Macaca fascicularis: one gene and its partners. The protein of the gene in region 1 interacts with the protein of each later gene in a pairwise test. Links are inferred from orthologs where the notes say so. Each region holds a gene or a part of one and is shown on either strand. Other genes may lie near its edges.

Evidence for each region.
Region 2: the proteins of CCDC184 (region 1) and PBLD interact in binary tests that used the Homo sapiens proteins (3 or more experiments, as listed by UniProt). The two-hybrid records come from large-scale screens. The link is inferred for Macaca fascicularis from reciprocal best matches to the Homo sapiens genes CCDC184 and PBLD.
Region 3: the proteins of CCDC184 (region 1) and STX11 interact in binary tests that used the Homo sapiens proteins (3 or more experiments, as listed by UniProt). The two-hybrid records come from large-scale screens. The link is inferred for Macaca fascicularis from reciprocal best matches to the Homo sapiens genes CCDC184 and STX11.

Annotation. Positions count from the first base shown.
Region 1 is NC_088385.1:54,942,338-54,948,957, reverse strand, and holds CCDC184 (coiled-coil domain-containing protein 184), read right to left. Parts: upstream 3,543-6,620; 5' UTR 3,044-3,542; coding exon 2,459-3,043; 3' UTR 1,246-2,458; downstream 1-1,245.
Region 2 is NC_088383.1:78,266,457-78,272,379, forward strand, and holds part of PBLD (phenazine biosynthesis-like domain-containing protein), read left to right. Parts: intron 1-1,502; coding exon 1,503-1,602; intron 1,603-2,110; coding exon 2,111-2,209; intron 2,210-5,923.
Region 3 is NC_088378.1:48,395,556-48,401,478, forward strand, and holds the end of STX11 (syntaxin-11), read left to right. Parts: intron 1-3,062; 5' UTR 3,063-3,067; coding exon 3,068-3,931; 3' UTR 3,932-5,082; downstream 5,083-5,923. UniProt on the Homo sapiens protein: SNARE that acts to regulate protein transport between late endosomes and the trans-Golgi network.

The sequences.
Region 1 (6,620 bases):
TTCTAAAGAAGGATAAGGGATCTTTTGTTTTTTTGTCTTTTTTGAGACAAAGTTTCACTCTTGATGCCCAGGCTGGAGTGCAATGGCACAATCTTGGCTCACCACAGCCTCCGCCTCCCGGGTTCAAGTGATTCTCCTGCCTCAGCCTCCCGAGTAGCTGGGATTACAGGCATGTGCCACCACGCCTGACTAATTTTGTATTTTTAGTAGAGACGCAGCTTCTCCATGTTGGTCAGGCTGGTCTCGAACTCCTGACCACAGGTGATCCACCCGCCTTGGCCTCCCAAAGCGCTGGGATTACAGTTGTGAGCTACTGCGCCCAGCCTCAAGGATTCTTTGGATAGGAAAAGATTATATAAAAAGAAAGTTTCTAGAGCCTTCCGTGGGTAGCTTTGTTTTCCCAGAGGAGCCAGTCACCACCCCCCCCCCCCCACTCCAATAAAACTATAAGGAAACTAACATTTGCACAAGACTTCTTAGGAGTCCTATATATTTTTCTCCCCAACAACTTTTTGTTCCCATTTTACATATCCAGAAACTAAGCCTTGAGCACTCAATTCAGTGTTGGAACTGAGTTTTAAGTCCAGATCTGTGTCTTTAGTGCTCTCTCTTTCCACCACTCCACAGCTACCAGCAGCAAGAAAACACACACACACACACACACACACACACACACACACACACACGGCACCCTAGCTCATTCTGCTCTCAGATTTTGTTCAGGGTCTCCATTGCCCAAGGGAGTAGACTAGAGCTGTCAGTTAAGCCCTCTGGGGAACACCTTCCCCGGGTTCTCCACTAGAGGCCTGAGGCAGTTATTGTGGTTTCCCTTTGTGATGTGTCACTCTATTTCCAGAGATCCCAGGTAATCCCTCCAGAACAATACCCCCACCCCACTCCCTCCACAGAACAGGTGCAGTACCTGCCATTCCAGGACGCAGATTTGGAAATCATCTCCCAGGGGCCAGATGCTTCACTGAAAAGTCTCCTGCACATTTGGAGTTCTGGCTACTAAAAACTCATGTTAGCATAGGAGTCTCAACACTTACCACCTCCTTCCCCAGGGCAGCTTGAGGTCAAGGTCCAGGACAGAAGGGAAAGCAGGCGGAGCTGGCAATGCCTGTCCCAACCAGGACAGGAACAGTCAACTCCTTGAACTGGAGCCAAGGAGAGAGGAGGGAAGGTATGGTCCCTGCAGTTCCCACTAAGCCCAACCCTGATATCCCTCTAGTATCAGTCAGCAAGGAGGGGAGATGACGCCTTTTTATTAAGGTTAACACCAAGGAAAGTATTGCGAAGGAATACAGAAAGGAGGGGGAGGGCACACAAAGTCACCACTTGAGGAGGTGGGAGGGCGGCACATCAATAAAAGAACCTCAGGACAGCCACATGCTCCATGCCCTGATTGGGAGAAGAGGGAGGGAAAAGCGCCATGATAGCTTGGAGCTCATAGAAGGGTCTGAAGCCCCCTGAACCTAACATCAGAGCCACAAGCCCTGACCCTGAGGGCTCACACACTACTACACAAGTAGACACACATAACACACACAAGACATGAAGGCAACACCGAGAGGCAGCGGGCAGGGACATATTGACAGAAAAAGGAACTGAAGTTAAGCAGGTGTAGCCAGGAGAGACAGTTTTTGGCTGCGGCCCCGAGTCCCTCAAATGTCCCCTAAATCTGGGTTGCTGCTGAGCACCCCCGAGTCTCTGCCTGTGAACCGGGCTCTTTGTTCTGTAAGCCCCAGTGAGTGGAAAAGCAATCCCAGATGAAGTCAGTGACAAGGCAGGATCCGCTCTGCATGCAAAATCCTAGAGGTTGAGCTATTATGTCTTCATGCACATTCATAGCCAGCTCCTCCCAGCCCAGGGGCCCTTGGAACCCCATTCACCCAGATTCCTAGGGCTGCAGTTCCCTCCTCAAGCTTCCTTTACCAATCAGCAGCCGCAGAGATCTGTGAGGGGGAGAGGCTTCTGCAGAGCACTGAATATCTTGGATTTCAGCAGAAGGGTAAATTTCCTGTTGCCAGAACAGAATACCCCCAATTCCTTAATTTCTAGGTAAATTGTTAGAGATTATTTGCCATGGTCCTAGATAAGTCCTTTTTCAGAATAGAAAAAGCAGAATTTTATTTACACATTTCAGGGGTTCTCCTGTTGTCTGGGGAGGGGGAAAGGACAGGATAGGGATGGATGGGAGTCCAGAGATGGGCGCTTCCTCTCCCGGAGCCTCACCTTTCCGCAGTTTGCTATAATTCGCTTAGTTGGGCAGAAAGAATTCTTGATGCTCCCAAAGTCCTTCACCCTACAAATCCTTCCTCGAGGGAGTCTCTCTCTGCCTGACCCACAAGAGCAGCTGTCCAAGGGAAGCATGCCGCACCGCGCCGTTCAGTCCCCTCGCGTCATGCACTCGGAAACCCAAAGACAGCCCGAGAAGGTAGTGCCCCACGGAGTCCCCTCACAGGGAGGCCTCGCCCTCCAGTTGCAGCAGGGTAATGTCGGGCATGTCAAGGGGCTCCATAGGTGGCCCGTCCCCCGCAAGGAGACCAGCACAGGGACTCTCGGGACGCTCACAGTGACTGGTGGGTGTGGCGGGGCTGGGCATCTCCTTCTCTTCTTCCTCGTCCTCCTCGTCCTCGGGATCGCGACCCAGTAAGCCGCTGTCCCCAATTCCAGGTGAAGGAGTCTCCGGCTCTTGGGGGTCGCTCGGGAAGCTCCCCTTGCCGCTGACCACGCCCAAGCCGCCCTGGCGGGGCGCAGTGGTCATAATCTGGCACATGGAGACGATGGCTCGCTGGTTGGCGCACACGTCGTCCGAGAGCACCTGGATGTGCGAGGCCTGCTCGTCCAGGGCCCCCCTCATGGCCCTCACGTCCTCAAACAGGGCTTGCAGCTGGGCTTTCAGGTGCTCCATCAGTTCCTTCATGCCGCCGTTGTACTCCCCGGAGATCACGTCCCCCACGGCCGGCACGGTGGACACCTCCAGGGGCGCCGGCATGTCGCCGCCGTCCTTGGTCATGATCTCCAGCAGACCGTCCTCCATTGAGTGGCAGAAGCGGGTGGCGGCGGCTCTGGGTCGCGTCCAGCCCGGCCTCCGGGGTGGGGGAGGGGGTGGAGGGGGAGAGGTCCCGGAGGGGTGGGGAGGAGCGGAGGGAAGCAGAGGCTCCCGAGACTGGCTGGGAGCGGACGTGAGAGACGAGTCCTGGGCAGAGGGCGCGGGCAGGGTCGCGGGCAGGGTCGCGGGAGGCCGAGAAGAGGCGGCGGGACGAGAACCCGGAGAGGGTCCCAGAGCCGGCGTCTCTTGGGCTCGCCCCGGGACGAAAGTGCCCTGCCCTGCCTCACCTCCCGGATTGCGCCCGTGTCAGCGCCGCCCTCTGGGCGCCACAAGCAGAGAGCGCCTGCCGGTTCCGTGGGTCACAGACGCGCTCGCGGAGGGGTCCGGGTCCGGGCTGAGGCCAGCGGCGCGTAGCACTCGGGACTCCCCCAGGCCATTAACTGGCAGCGCCCGCGAGTGTGGCAGCAGCAGCTGGGGCGGGTCTCCCGGCGGCGCCGCGGATGCTCCTCTGTTTCCAAGGCGACGCACGGCACGTAAATGACGTGTGTCTCCATGGTAACCAGGAAGTGGAGAAGAAAAAGGGAGGATGGCTGGAAGCTGCAGTGGGGCTGTGGAGTCTGGACTAGCGAGGTGGGGGGAGGAGAGGGGACGCTGCAGTGGCTTCGGCCGAGGCTAGAAAGAGTGTGTGGTTGCAATGTTTAATAGGGAAGCATGAGAGAGCCGTTTGCTGCATAAACCTCCAAGTCCGGGAGAGATCGTCCCTCCCCTAGCCGGGGTATGAGACCCAGCGCGACTGCCCTGGAAGGATTTTTCCAGCCCGCATTCCTTTCTCAGAGGATGGCGCTAAAGTCGAGTCCTGCCTCTCTGTCCTCCAGCGGTGCGCAGGAAAGCGGAGAGGGTAGAGAAGCTGATGCTAATCATCCCAGAGTTGAGCTGGGGCACGGTGGCGCTCTGGAGCCGGCCCCACCGGGCCTGGCGGCGCAGAGGCAGGAGGAGGAGGGCACTACGGAGGTTTCTGCAGTAAATCAGCCCTCTCGCTATAGAAATCACCGGAGCTGGGAAAGGATGGGACTCCCTCCTTTACGAGACCCTACCGCTCCTACCCAGGTCCCTGGGAGTTTGTCCCGGATGGGGAGGCCAAGTACTTAAGTTTTGGCAATGAAAGCTCCATAAGGGCAGAGATTTTTGTCTCCCCTGCATCCTTCATCACGGAATCCCCAGCTCCTAAAATACTGCCTGGCACCTAGTATGTAGACGCTTAATATAGTTATTGAATGAATAACAAAAACCACCAAGTCCCATGCTCTCATCCGGAACTCTCCAAGCCAAACGTACTGGGTTTTAGGAGACCTGAATTCAGTTTCGTTTCTGCCACGTATTCATTCAGAGACCTTGGCCACATCATTTTCCTCATCTGTTAGGGAATTGAACTGGATAGTCTATAATATTATTTCTAATTCCGAATAACACTCTGCATCATCTCACAGGTGAAAAGGTAAACTGTTGACGGTTGCATGGAGGGGATGGATGGGATGACTGTGTGTTAGAGTAATTCCCGCTCTCTCTTTCAGTGCCCAAGTTCAGACATACATTGAGTATCCACAACCTTTGTGACAACCCCTTTCCCTATTTAAGGGGTGGAGCAGGAAGGGCGGAGGAAGAAAAACATTGTCTTTAATATATGTAGATGATTCCAGATTGAGAAGGAATCAGCACCTGGGCAGAGCACATTAATAATGACCCTAGGAAATTAGGGAAGCCAAGTGATCAGAAACCAAAAATGAAGTTCACAAGAATAAATCTGGGGAAGAACAAACCATATCACTTCAAGATAGAGAAGAACTAGGGAAAGGTGTTTTGTAGACTGGCGGTTCAGTTACAGCAAATGTGTTACCTTTGGGTTTCCCTGATTATGTGGTTGGTGATGAAGAGTGAGACTGGCACAGGGAAACTTTTGTGACACTAGAGGACTGTTTGGCCTATACCAATCTTACTGCTATTAAAATAGAAACAAGTGGGGACTATCCTAAATGACCAGGAGCAGAATGTTTAAATAAACTAAGGCAAAATTGCTCATATATAAAGTATTATGCAGCCATTAGAAATTTGATTTCCCAAAACAAATATATGAACAAATTTTAAAAACACAGTATCGTATTTTCTGAAACTAATGATTCAATCCTATTTGCTTGCTTATTTCTTCCTTCATTCTACAGATTTCCAGCACTCTTATCTTGGTTAGGACTCCTACCTCTACTATGTACCCCATAAGTGGTAATGACACCTTAAGTTACTCCTGAAACTCTGGCTCAGGAGAGGACAGAAATGTTTTTCCTTGGTTTCCATAAGCACAACTGAAGTGGGCTGGTATTTACAAAGAGACTTTATTAACAACTATAGGAAAATTAGAAATAGAGACAGGACACATGAAAACAACTGAGCTTACACAGCATTAGTTTCTGATTATACTACAGCAAGCATGTTCTCAGGGCTTATGGGTTCAACCCTGCTTTCATCCTTCCCATCCTTCCCAGGAGAGCTCAGCTATAGCCAGAAAAGACTGTCATGGCTTTCAGGCTTTCTGTCTGGGTCTGTTACTTTACATCTCTTGACAAGCACTTCACATGGAAAATTTCATCTTGCCAGTTCAGGCATGTCCCTGCCTTCTACCTACAAAGAGTGACTCTGTCCCAGTGGGGGACCTCTCATCTTTGAAATCCCATAAGCTTACATTAAGCATAGCCCCCATACAGGAGGAGCTGTGGCATGTCATCATACAAGGCCTTTTGCCACTATTGTTGAGGATACCATTTATGTCAAGGCTTTCAGCATAAGATTACATCATGCTGTCCAGAGGTGCTGGCTATGAAGTCCACTGAGAGTACAAGGGATCTGAGCCCAGAGGGAGGGGAAATTATTGGAGAAGCACAAAAGACCATGGGAAACATATGCAGAGATCAAGCAGTGTGGCTGGTCCAGTCAAGTTCCAGGTCAAACATTTGAGAGTCAAGGGTAGGTGGGAACTGGGGGAGTGGACCAGTAGCAGAATTTGAAAATATAGGAAGGTGACTGGGTACGGTGGCTCATGCCTGTAATCCCAGCACTGTGGGAGGCTGAGGTGGGTGGATCACTTGAGATCAGTAGTTTGAGACCAGCCTGGTCAACATGGTGAAACCTGTCTCTACTAAAAACACGAAAATTAGCTGGGCATGGTGGTGGGCACCCGTAATCCCAGCTACTCCAGAGGCTGAGGCAGGAGAATTGCTCAAACTAGGGAGGCAGAGGTTGCAGTGAGCCAAGATCACGCCACTGCACTCCAGCCTGAGTGACAGAGCGAGACTTCGTCTCGAAAAAAAAAAAGAAAGAAAAAGAAAAGAAAAGAAAAAAAAAAGAAAGAAAAAAGAAAGGAAAAGAAAATAAAAGAAAAAGAAAATATAGGAAGGAGACATTGGTGCGTCTGATAGAAAACCAGATCATTTCAGGAACTCTGTGTGAAAATGAGACAAGGTAGAAAGGTCTAGTCTCAGGAAAATAAGGAGAACAGTGGCAGAGCCTCAGTCAGCTA
Region 2 (5,923 bases), on another chromosome or scaffold:
GTGAACATGCATATTCCCTTCCCCTAGATTCACTAGTTGTTACTATGTAAAAAATATTTTTTTAGAGTCAGGTTCTCATGATGTTGCGCAGGCTGGTCTTCAACTCCTAGGCTCAAGCAATCCACTCTCCTTGGCCTCCCAAAGTGCTGGGATTATAGGCATGTGCCTGGCCAGTTGTTACTATTGTCCACATTTGCAAAGCCCTCATTCTTTTTCTTTTTCTTTTCTTTTTTGTTTTTGAGACAGGATCTTGCTCTGTCACCCAGGCTGGAATGCAGTGGCACAATCATGGCTCACTGCAGCCTTGACTTCTGGGCTCAAGTGATCCTCCCACCTCAGCCTCCCACGTAGCCTGGACCATAGGCAAGCACCACCATGCCCGGCTAAATTTTTTATTTTTATTTTTTATAGAGACTGGGGGGTGGTCTTGAACTCCTAGTCTCAAGCAATCTTCCTGCCTTGGCCTCCCAAAGTGCTGGGATTACAGGCATAAGCCACCATGCCCAGCTAAAGCCCTTGCTCTTTTTTTTTTTTTTTATCTTTTTTACAGAGACAGGGTCTTACTATGTTACCCAGGCTGGTCTTGAACTCCTGGACTCAAGCTATCCTCCCTCCTCAGCCTCCCAAAGTGCTGGGATTACAGGCGTGAGCCACCACGCCTAACTAAGCTCTCATTCTTAATCACTGTAGTGTTTATTAGGTATATTGTGGTCTTAGGATATTATATGATCTCTCTGTTTAATTTCTTCATTTGTAAGGGTATAAAAATATTTACATTGAGGGTTTTAAAAATGAGATTAAGTGAAATAATGTACTTAGTTTTTCAACAAATGTTTGTTGACCTCCTACTGTGCTGGGGTGAATACCAGGCATTGTTCCAGGTCCGGACAAAGCAAGACAGCACAGTCCGTACTCCAACAGAACTTAGAATCAGAGGTGGGGAGGCCAGACGATAAAGGGCATACCAGGCAATTTCAGGACATCTAAGCACTGGTGAGGAGACAACACCTTAAGCACAGTGGTCTGGGAAGGCTTACTGGAGGAGGTGACCCCTGGCCTGAAGCCCTTCCCACGAAAGGGAGTAAACCATGCAAAGACGGGGGAGGAGTGGTCCAGCCTGCCCAGAGTGAGTGCTAAACCTCTTTTTCACCAACAAAGCAAGGGAGATTGGGGTACTTCCTTGCATGGCGTTTGTTTTTAGAAGAGAGCACACTCTGTCAGCTAGACTAGATCTTAATGTGACAAAAGACAGGCCAGGCCAGCCAGTTTTTCACAGTCTATTCCAGCTTGTACATTTATAACTCTTCTTCACAGGGTACTGCAAACATGGGTTTCTGAGAACCAATCTTTATAAAAGTGTCTTGAATTCCTTGGTAATTATTTCCTTTTAAGCATATAACTTTTATTATTAATAAACTGCTTTTAAATTAATGGTAGTTGTTGTCCAAAGGAAGTCTGATCTGTGTTACTGAAACCTCAATGATCTTATGTTTCTAATTAAGGAATTGGAAGAAGACATGCATCAGAAAATTGCAAGGGAGATGAACCTCTCTGAAACTGCTTTTATCCGAAAACTGCACCCGACAGACAACTTTGCACAAAGTAAATATGCTTTTTTTTTTTTTTTTTTTTTAAAGAACTGCTCTGTCGCCCAGGCTGGAGGGCAGTGGCATGATCTTGGCTCACTGCAACCTCCACTTCCTGGATTCAAGGAATTGTGCCTCAGCCTCCCAAAGTGCTGGGATTATAGGCGTGAGCCACCGCTTTACAATCATTCTTGAATGACACCAGAAATTATTTTTAGGTGGGGGGATGATCTTTAAGGAAAATGCCCCCTTATTATTTGCATGCAGACAGTAGATAGAGCGGGAGATTCTGATTTGGTTTTCAGTTCATCTGGGGGAGAGGGTGTTGGTGAACCTGAATGTTTCCATTCCAGATCTAGCACTGGGGAGCCCTACGATGCTTGCCTAGCCATCATTCCTCCTTTTACAACATGTTTTGGCTATTCATCATTCTAGAGAAATATTTAGGAAAGAAGAAGATGAGAAATCTGTGACCTGCTTACATGGGAATGATCTCATCTCTCTTTGGCTTTTCCTACCCTCAGGTTCCTGCTTTGGACTAAGATGGTTTACACCGGCAAGTGAGGTTCCGCTCTGTGGCCACGCCACCCTGGCTTCTGCAGCTGTGCTGTTTTACAAAATAAGTAATGTGATTTTCTTTAATGAATCTAACACTTAGCAAATGGCTTTTTTTTTTTTTAAGTTCTCACACAGACTTATTCTGATGGTCCAAAGTGACTGGTATAAAGACTTTGCAGAGTTTACTTCATGCTATTCGTAATGCAGAAACAAAACTAGCGACCTTCAATAGCACTTTTACCTTTCTGAGTATGTGCCCACCATCACTGGAAAGCTGCAGTCAGAATGCTATTTTTTAAACCGGAGATCTCTGGTCTTTGTGAAGCTTGCATGGGCAGAATTGTCATCTCATACGATATGAGATTGGGGACCAACAGGAACATTTCACTCCAATTATTTCCCCTCCCACATTGAAATTCATTTCACAGTAAGAGATTCTTCAATAAACTTTCTTTTTTTTTTTTGAGATGGGGCCTGGCTCGGTTGCCCACGCTGGAGTGCAGCGTTGGGATGTCAGTTCACTGCAACCTCTGACTCCTGGGCTCAAGCCATCCTCCCACTTCAACCTCCAAAGTAACTGGGACCACAGGTGCACACCACCACACCTGGCTAATTTTTGTATTTTTGGTAGAGACGGGGTTTTGCTGTGTTGCCCAGGCTGACCTCAAATTCCTGAGCTCAATTGATCCACCCACCTTGGCCTCCCAAAGTGCTGGGATTACAGGCATGAGCCACCACGCCCAGCCAATAAGAGCTTCTTTGCTCTGAATTTTAAAGATTCCTGGGCCCCCACTGTATATATACATTCACCTTAAGAGGAGTTGCAGCACCTTAATTCTGCCAGTTTCTATCTTAGCTGCATTTAGTTTAATGGACAAAGATCAGGGCCTTGTGGGGATGGGACAGAGGAGAGATTCCTGGGAAATGCCCTAAAACAGGAGGTGGAAGCAGCCAGAAACAAGCATAGACAGCAAACGGAAATGGAAACAAGGAAAGAAACAGGATAATACGACAGAAGGTCACTGTGGGGGTTGGGCAAAACCCCGTCTCTACTAAAAATACAAAAATTAGCCAAGTGTGGTGGCGCATGCCTGTAGTCCCAGCTACTCAGGAGGCTGAGGCAGGAGAATCGCTTGAATCTGGAAGGCGGCGGTTGCAGTGAGCTGAGATTGTGCCATTGCACTCCAGCCTGGGCGACAGGGCAAGACTCCGCCTCAAGGAAAAGAAAAAAAAGAAAGCAGGATTGAATAGAGGGAGAAATTGAACTGCAGAGTAGTAGCAACAAAGAAAGGCCTAGGCCAAATCCATGGGGAGCTCTAAAGCTGGACATTTTTTCAAGTAGTATAGTTCCAAGTAGAGGCAGAGATTCAGGCCTTTTTATCCTCCATGGACCAGTCCCCAAAACCTGGAAAAGATGTATGACTTTGGGCAAGGTAGCTCTACTCAGCCAAAGGTAACTCCAAGAGAGTGACTCAGTTGAGAGCTGTAGGCCGCCAGCACTCTGGGCAAGCAGGGTCAGGGCCGGGTGTAGGCAGAGCCAGCAAGGCCCCAGGTTGCAGCTGAGAGCAGGTGCCTCCTTACATTTTGTACCCTATGGTACTTCCTTGCCTCATGGAGTCCCAGTCCTGAGGCCATGGGTCAGACATAGAATCTGGATCAGCACCCACTAGAGAAGGGGAACTTTGGGCTAAAGGATAAGATGAAGCATCTGTGGGATGAGCTAGAGTGAGAGGAGGAGCATCCCAGGCAGAGGCTAGCAAGTACAAAGCCCCTGGGACCTGTCTATATGATTGGCAGGGATAAAGTTGAGAGGCCATATAATATAATTCAATATACATTTCAAAAAGATGATTTTGGTATCTGTGGATAGGGGACACATGCAAAGGCAAGCAGACATTCTGAAATGTTTAGGAATTGAGTCTTGAAAAATAAGATTTACTGAAATTAAATTGAGTGTCTTTTGTTTTTTTGTTTTTGTCTTTTTTGAGATGGAGTTTTGCTCTTGTAACCCAGGCTGGAGTGCAATGGCAAGATCTTGACTCACTGCAACCTCTGCCTCCTGTGTTTAAGCGATTCTCCTGCCTCAGCCTCCCAAGTAGCTGGGATTACAGGCGCCTACCACCACGCCTGGCTAATTTTTGTATTTTTAATAGAGATGGGGTTTCACCATGTTGGCCAGGCTGGTCTCAAACTCCTGACTTCAGGTGAACCACCTGCCTCGACCTCCCAAAGCAAGATTGAGTGTCTTTTGAAAACTGGACTCCACATGGGTTGGTTTGATGCTGAGGTTTGGAATAATAACACCCTGGAACCCCCCATAGGGCAGTCTTAAGGTTAGATAAGATATGAAAAAATGCTTTGTAAATAGTAATGTCTTATATCGATCATAATGAGAAAAATTAAGCTTTGTGTTTCCAAATGTCAATTTTATGCTCAATGAAAGTTAATAAGTCAAAGTTCTTCACCTTTGACATGTGATTTAAGTTTTACAGAAATATTAAGAGAGAGAAAAGAATTAGGTCACCATTCTTTGTTTTCACTAAAAATGTTACACACACTGATAAGTAGCCCAAGCTGCATCAGTAACAGGGGATGGCAGTATTTGTGGTGCATTCTTTAAATCACATTGCTGTGTAAAAAGTTTGGTTTATTTAGGATAAACCACATTTATTTCATATAAGACTGATATTTACAACTTAAATGTTTTGTTATTCCCTTGGCATATCTTAGACTAGAACAGGTTATGACTCTATGGTTGTTGCTGCAGGATATTTTAAAATCTGTATTAGAAACATTTTAGACTAGGTGCAGTGGTTCATGCCTGTAATCCCAACACTTTGGGAGCCAAGGCAGGAGGATCTCTTCAGTCTAGAACTTAGAGACCAGCCTGGGCAACATAGTGAGACCCTGTCTTTACAAAATATTTAACAATTATCCAGGCATTATGGCTCATGCCTGTAGTCCCAGCTACTCGGGAAGCTGAGGATTGCTTGAGCTCAGGAGGTTAAGGCTGCAGTGAGCCAGTCCCCAGCCTGGGCAACAGAGTGAGACAGTTCCTCAAAGAAAGAGAAAACATTATAAAAGGTAGGTTTAATGTATTAACCTCATTTTATAGATGAGGAAACCGAGATTTAAGGAGGCTGGCCAGGTGTGATGGCTCATGCCTATAATCTAAGCACTTTGGGAGGCTGAGGCAGGTGGATCACTTGTGGTCAGGAGTTTGAGACCAGCCTGACCAACATGATAAAACCTCGTCTCTACTAAAAATACAAAAATTAGCTGGGTGTGATGGTGCACACCTGTAATTCCAGCTTCTTGGGAAGCTGAGGTGGGAGAATCACTTGAACATGGGAGGCAGAGGGTACAGTGAGCTGAGATCGCGCCACTGTACTCCAGCCTGGGCAACACAGTGAGACCCTGTCTCAAGAAAATAAAAAAAGGGCCGGGCGCAGTGGCTCAAGCCTGTAATCCCAGCACTTTGGGAGGCCGAGACGGGCGGATCACGAGGTCAGGAGATCGAGACCATCCTGGCTAACACGGTGAAACCCCGTCTCTACTAAAAACTACAAAAACTAGCCGGGCGAGGTGGCGGGCGCTTGTAGTCCCAACTACTCGGGAGGCTGAGGCAGGAGAATGGCGTAAACCCGGGAGGCGGAGCTTGCAGTGAGCTGAGATCCGGCCACTGCACTCCAGCCTGGGCGACAGAGCGAGACTCCGTCTCAAAAAAAAAAAAAAGAAAATTAAAAAAGGAGGCTAAGTTAGTAAGGGCACAGTAAGCA
Region 3 (5,923 bases), on another chromosome or scaffold:
AGAGGTCTCAGGACCCTGAATGATAATATTGATTATATTATTTTATTTTATTTCATGTTTCTAAGTTCCGGGGTACAGGTGCAAGATGTGCAGTTTTGTTACATAGGTAAATATGTACCATGGTGGTTTGCTGCACAGATCATCCCATCACCTAGGTATTAAGCCCAGCAAGCATCAGCTCTTTTCCCTAATGCTCTCCCCTCCCCTGCCCTTCCCCGACAGGCCCCACTATGCGTTATTCCCCTCCCTGTGTCCAGGTGTTCTCATTGTTCAGCTGCCATTTGTAAGTGAGAACATGCAGTGTTTGGTTTTCTGTTCATGCATTACTTTGCTGAAGATAATGGCTTCCAGCTTCATCCATGTCCCTGCAAAGAACATGATCTCATTCCTCTTTATGGCTGTATAGTACAGTCTAACATTGATGGGCATTTGGGTTGGTTCTGTGTCTCTGCTATTGTGAGTAGGGCTGCAGTGAACATTCACATGCATGTGTCTTTATAATAGAATGATTTATATTCCTTTGGGTATATACTCAGGAATGGGATTGCTGCTCAAATGGTATTTCTGGTTCTAAATCTTTGAGGAATTGCCACACTGTCTTCCACAATGGTTGAACTAATTTACATTCCCACCAACAGTGTTAAAGCATTCCTATTTCTCCACAGCCTCCACCAGCATCTATTGTTTCTTGACATTTTAATAGTCACCATTCTGACTGGCGTGAGATGGAATTACCAGTATGTTTTAAGAGTTCCCAGAATGCTTACCCATTTGAAAAATTATTGTTTTTAAAAAACTCATGCTAACTCTGTGGGCAAAAAATTTCTCAGCAGTTTAATTTGCATTTCCTTGTTTAATACAGAAGTCTTTTGTGACTATATTTTTATACTTTTGCTAAGGATTATTTCGTGCAGTGGTTAAGTGGTGCTGTTCTAAAGCCTGAGTGTTCACTTACTGGTGACCTTGAGTAAATTCCTTGATCTCCCTATGGTCACACCAACTCTGATAATGGCAGTACCTACTCATAGAATCCGTGTAAAGACTAAAGAGGGTATCACATGAAAGATGCCTAGAAAATATCAGGCATATATAACATACGTTTATGTTCTCTGTCATTTATATCTTCTCTGAATTGCCCTTTCACTGTCTTGGGGTAAGTAGATTTTTTGGTAGCTTAGAAATATATATATTAAGTATCTTAACCCATTGTCTGTCATATATTATAATTTCTTCCCAGTTGGTGGTTTGTCTTTCAATTTTGTTCAAAGTGAGGAAACAGTTGAATATCAAGAAATTCAGACCGGCCGGGGGCGGTGGCTCAAGCCTGTAATCCCAGCACTTTGGGAGGCCGAGACGGGCAGATCATGAGGTCAGGAGATCGAGACCATCCTGGCTAACACAATGAAACCCCGTCTCCACTAAAAATACAAAAAAATTAGCCGGGCGTGGTGGCGGCGCCTGTAGTCCCAGCTACTCGGGAGGCTGAGGCAGGAGAATGGCGGGAACCCGGGAAGCGGAGCTTGCAGTGAGCCGAGATCGCGCCACTGCACTCCAGCCTGGGCGACAGAGCGAGACTCCGCCTCAAAAAAAAAAAAAAAAAAAAAAGAAAAAAAAAAAGAAATTCAGACCAAGTGAAGGCATAGTTTTGGTCCTGGATCTTTATTCTGCCTGTCAACCATACTGCTAGGAGAATCATCTTCCCCATCATTGAGAACGTCTGGTATTGATTATAGCCACCAGATATCAGAAATGGTGGCACTTTAAGCAGCTTATATTGTTATATTAAAAATCACCATCATAGATAAAACTTCTGCTTAATTTATGTAAATGATGATCACGGTAGATGAAAGGCCATGGTTAATATTTCACCATTTTCCATTTATCACCAAATCCAACTTGTCAGCATTACATTAGTGGTGATATAAAATGAATTACTTCAACTTGAAAGAAGCTTTTAATTTGAGACCAAGAACCCTGATAGACTGTGTAACCATTAAGTGTTATTACTTTTCCCCTCTTTGCTGCAAATTGTGTAGTAGAAAAGGAATCTTTCTCATCATGAAGTCTCATGTATAAACTCAAGATGTTCCCTATATTAGCATATATACATGCTACTAAAAATGGAAGTTTTTTACTTCACTGAAAAACAATATGGACATAGAGACTATTACTTTGCCTTATTAAGCAGAGGAATTACCAGAACCATCCTTGTAAAAACATGAACATTCTGCCTGAGCTGCCAATTTGTTTCAAAAAGGTATTAAAAGTGGGCAAACATTGCTGCTACATGATGAATGAATGGGAATGCGTTATATTATTGCTACTAGGCCACATATGATTGGAATTTTCCATATGAAAGCATTTTAAAAAGCAGTGTTATTTACAATGATTATCATTAGGGAATGATATTGAAAAGAGGAGTCAGGAAACCTCAACTTCTAAATTTTACACTTAGATTTCTGTATTTTGTTGTTATCATTTTACCTTAAGCATGTTTTACTTTTACAACATCTTTAAGAGAAAAAAAATTAAATCATGATTTGCATGGTAACTATTTTAAGAGTTGTTAGTATGTACAGGAGGGGATGCTTACCAGTGCTGAAATAGACACAAAATAGGCAACATTTAGATGTTGGCCCCAAGGCCTTGTAGATTGTCCTCAATTAAAAATGCTTAAGTTTGCAAGTCTTTTTTCTTTTTTCCTTTTTTTTTTTTCCTGTGTCTGTTTTAATTTGCGATGATTGAAAAACATAAAGCAAGAAAAAGAGATGGTTTCCCAATGCAATCTAAAATTTTAAATTGTTGATTGAGTTCTAGACGGCTATGATACTGAACTGCAGGTGCATATGGGCCTTAAAATGCAACTGTTTCATGTTGTCCAGTCATCTTATTTATTTCCTTGTAAGCAAAATGTCAGAACATTTAGCTCCTTTAGTGCACTTATTTCCCACACCTAGGAATAAAAAATTGGGACTGCTGAGTAAAATGTTAAGTTTCAATCCCTTGAAGGCAAATACTTCACTCTCAATAGAGAAATTTAACTGAATTACCTCTACTTGCAGGCAAAATGAAAGACCGGCTAGCAGAACTTCTGGACTTGTCCAAGCAATATGACCAGCAGTTCCCAGACGGGGACGATGAATTTGACTCGCCCCACGAGGACATCGTGTTCGAGACGGACCACATCCTGGAGTCCCTGTACCGAGACATCCAGGACATCCAGGATGAAAACCAGTTGCTGGTGGCCGACGTGAAGCGCCTGGGAAAGCAGAACGCCCGCTTCCTCACGTCCATGCGGCGCCTCAGCAGCATCAAGCGCGACACCAACTCCATCGCCAAGGCCATCAAGGCCCGGGGCGAGGTCATCCACTGCAAGCTACGCTCCATGAAGGAGCTGAGCGAGGCCGCCGAAGCCCAGCACGGCCCGCACTCAGCGGTGGCGCGCATCTCGCGGGCGCAGTACAACGCGCTCACCCTCACCTTCCAGCGCGCCATGCACGACTACAACCAGGCCGAGATGAAGCAGCGCGACAACTGCAAGATCCGCATCCAGCGCCAGCTGGAGATCATGGGGAAGGACGTCTCGGGCGACCAGATCGAGGACATGTTCGAGCAGAGCAAGTGGGATATGTTCTCCGAGAACCTGCTGGCTGATGTAAAAGGCGCGCGGGCCGCCCTTAACGAGATCGAGAGCCGCCACCGCGAGCTGCTGCTCCTGGAGAGCCGCATCCGCGACGTGCACGAGCTCTTCTTGCAGATGGCAGTGCTGGTGGAGAAGCAGGCCGACACCCTGAACGTCATCGAGCTCAACGTACAAAAGACGGTCGACTACACCGGCCAGGCCAAGGCGCAGGTGCGGAAGGCCGTGCAGTACAAGAAAAAGAACCCCTGCCGGACCCTCTGCTGCTTCTGCTGTCCCTGCCTCAAGTAGCAGGCCGGCCCGGGCCGCCACCACCCATCCCAGACCATGGAGCACGCTGGGAAGGACGCACCATCTCTGCCCTGCAGGGAGTTGCCCCAACTCTTTACGGAACTCAGTCTTTAGAGAAGAAACGCGAGGTTCAAGAATTGCAAACAAGCCCGTGCTTGGAAAGATGGTTAGTTGATGCCGTCCAATGGTTCTTCAGTAAAGATAGATTCCTACCAAGTTGTGCAATGTCATTATATGTCACCTTGCACTCTTAGCCTCTAGACAGAAGCCAAGTAAGGAACTGACGTTGTATCTAACTGTAGGGTGAATGTCTGAGGCCTGCCTCCTAATAAAGATTCAAGGAAGGAGTCAGTTGTTCATCTGCTAATAGAATGAACTCATGATGGAAACTTCAGTTCATTTGCTTTGTCCTGAAAATTCCCTGGTTCTGTTCCATTCTGAGTGAAATTGGCCTTGGGAAAAACCACGTTCTTCCTTTCCGATTCTTCATCCGGTCTATGCTATGCGATTCCTCCCCAAATATGGATCTTATTTCTGCTCATTTCCCCTACTTATTAAAATCACACCAAACCCTTACTATTTTCTTATCTCTTTCACTTTTTAAATATCTTTCACCAGGTTATATTTTGGGATTATTTTTCCAAATATTTTTAAGCACTGAATCGAACAAGCACTCAAATTGAAGTATTAGTCATGTTTTATGTATTTTTCACTGATAAAAATTATTTAACATTTTTCTTTTTACTTGATTACATATGCACATGTATTTGTAAATGTAAAATACTAATATTCACTAATGTATGTACATAATGATCAATTGGTTTAACTTCTTTTATGTAAGTATGGTATATAAATTTCAAGAACACTTTTTTGGCTGTTGGTGTTGGTTTGCTTGTTTTGAGTTTGTTTCACTCCAGTTTGCCCCTTCATAGTCCAGTTTGGGTCAAAACTTCATGTTAAACAACTCTGCATTGGTTATGGTGGTAGACATATGACGGTAGAAAATGTATACAGAGCTAGAGACAACTAACATTCTTGGAAATACTGCTTTTGTTTTACTGTGGACCATTCCTTTCATGCATTGAAATGGAGAAATTTAAAGTAAAAGAATTCTGTTTTTCAAGCAAGCTTAATAAACATTACATTATACATATATTTTTATACATCTGTCTTGATCATTTAGTTTACTTTCTCAATTATTGTCAAAATTTTTTTTTCCTTTTTTTTTGTTTTTGAGATGGAGTCTCACTCTGTTGCCTCTGGAGTGCAGTGGCGGGACCTCGGCTCACTGCAACCTCTGCCTCCCAGGTTCAAGCGATTCTCCTGACTCAGCCTCTGGAGTAGCTGGGACTACGGGCACATGCCACCATGCCTGACTAATTTTTTGTGTTTTTAGTAGAGACAATGTTTCACCATGTTAGCCAGGATGGTTTTGATCTCCTGACCTCGTGATCCGCCCGCATCGGCCTCCCAAAGTGCTGGGATTACAGGCGTGAGCCACAGTTCCTGACCTTTTTTTTTTTCGCTTTTGAGACAGGGTCTCCCTTTGTCACCCAGGCTGAAGTGCAGTGGCATAATCATGGCTTACTGCAGCCTTAACCTCCCAGGCTCAAGTGATACTCGCACCTCAGCCTGCAAATAGCTGAGACTACAGATATGTGCCACCATGCCTGGCTAATTTTTGTATTTTTCTGTAGACACAGGGTTTGCCATGTTGTTCAGGCTGGTCTCAAACTTGCGAGCTTGAGCAACCCGCCCATGTTGGCCTCCCAAAGTGCTGAGACTACAGGCCTGAGCCACTGCTTCTGGCCAAATTTTTTTCTTCTAGCTACTTGAGGCTGCCACATCTGGATGGAACTGAGTGGAGGGGGAAAAGAATGAAAAACTCAAAAGAGTTCCCATGAGGGTGTCTTGCTTTCTCTCCTGAGTTACAATACTTCAGCAAAATCATCAGGCTTTAGAGATATGGTGTAGTCTGCTAACTTTTTAATG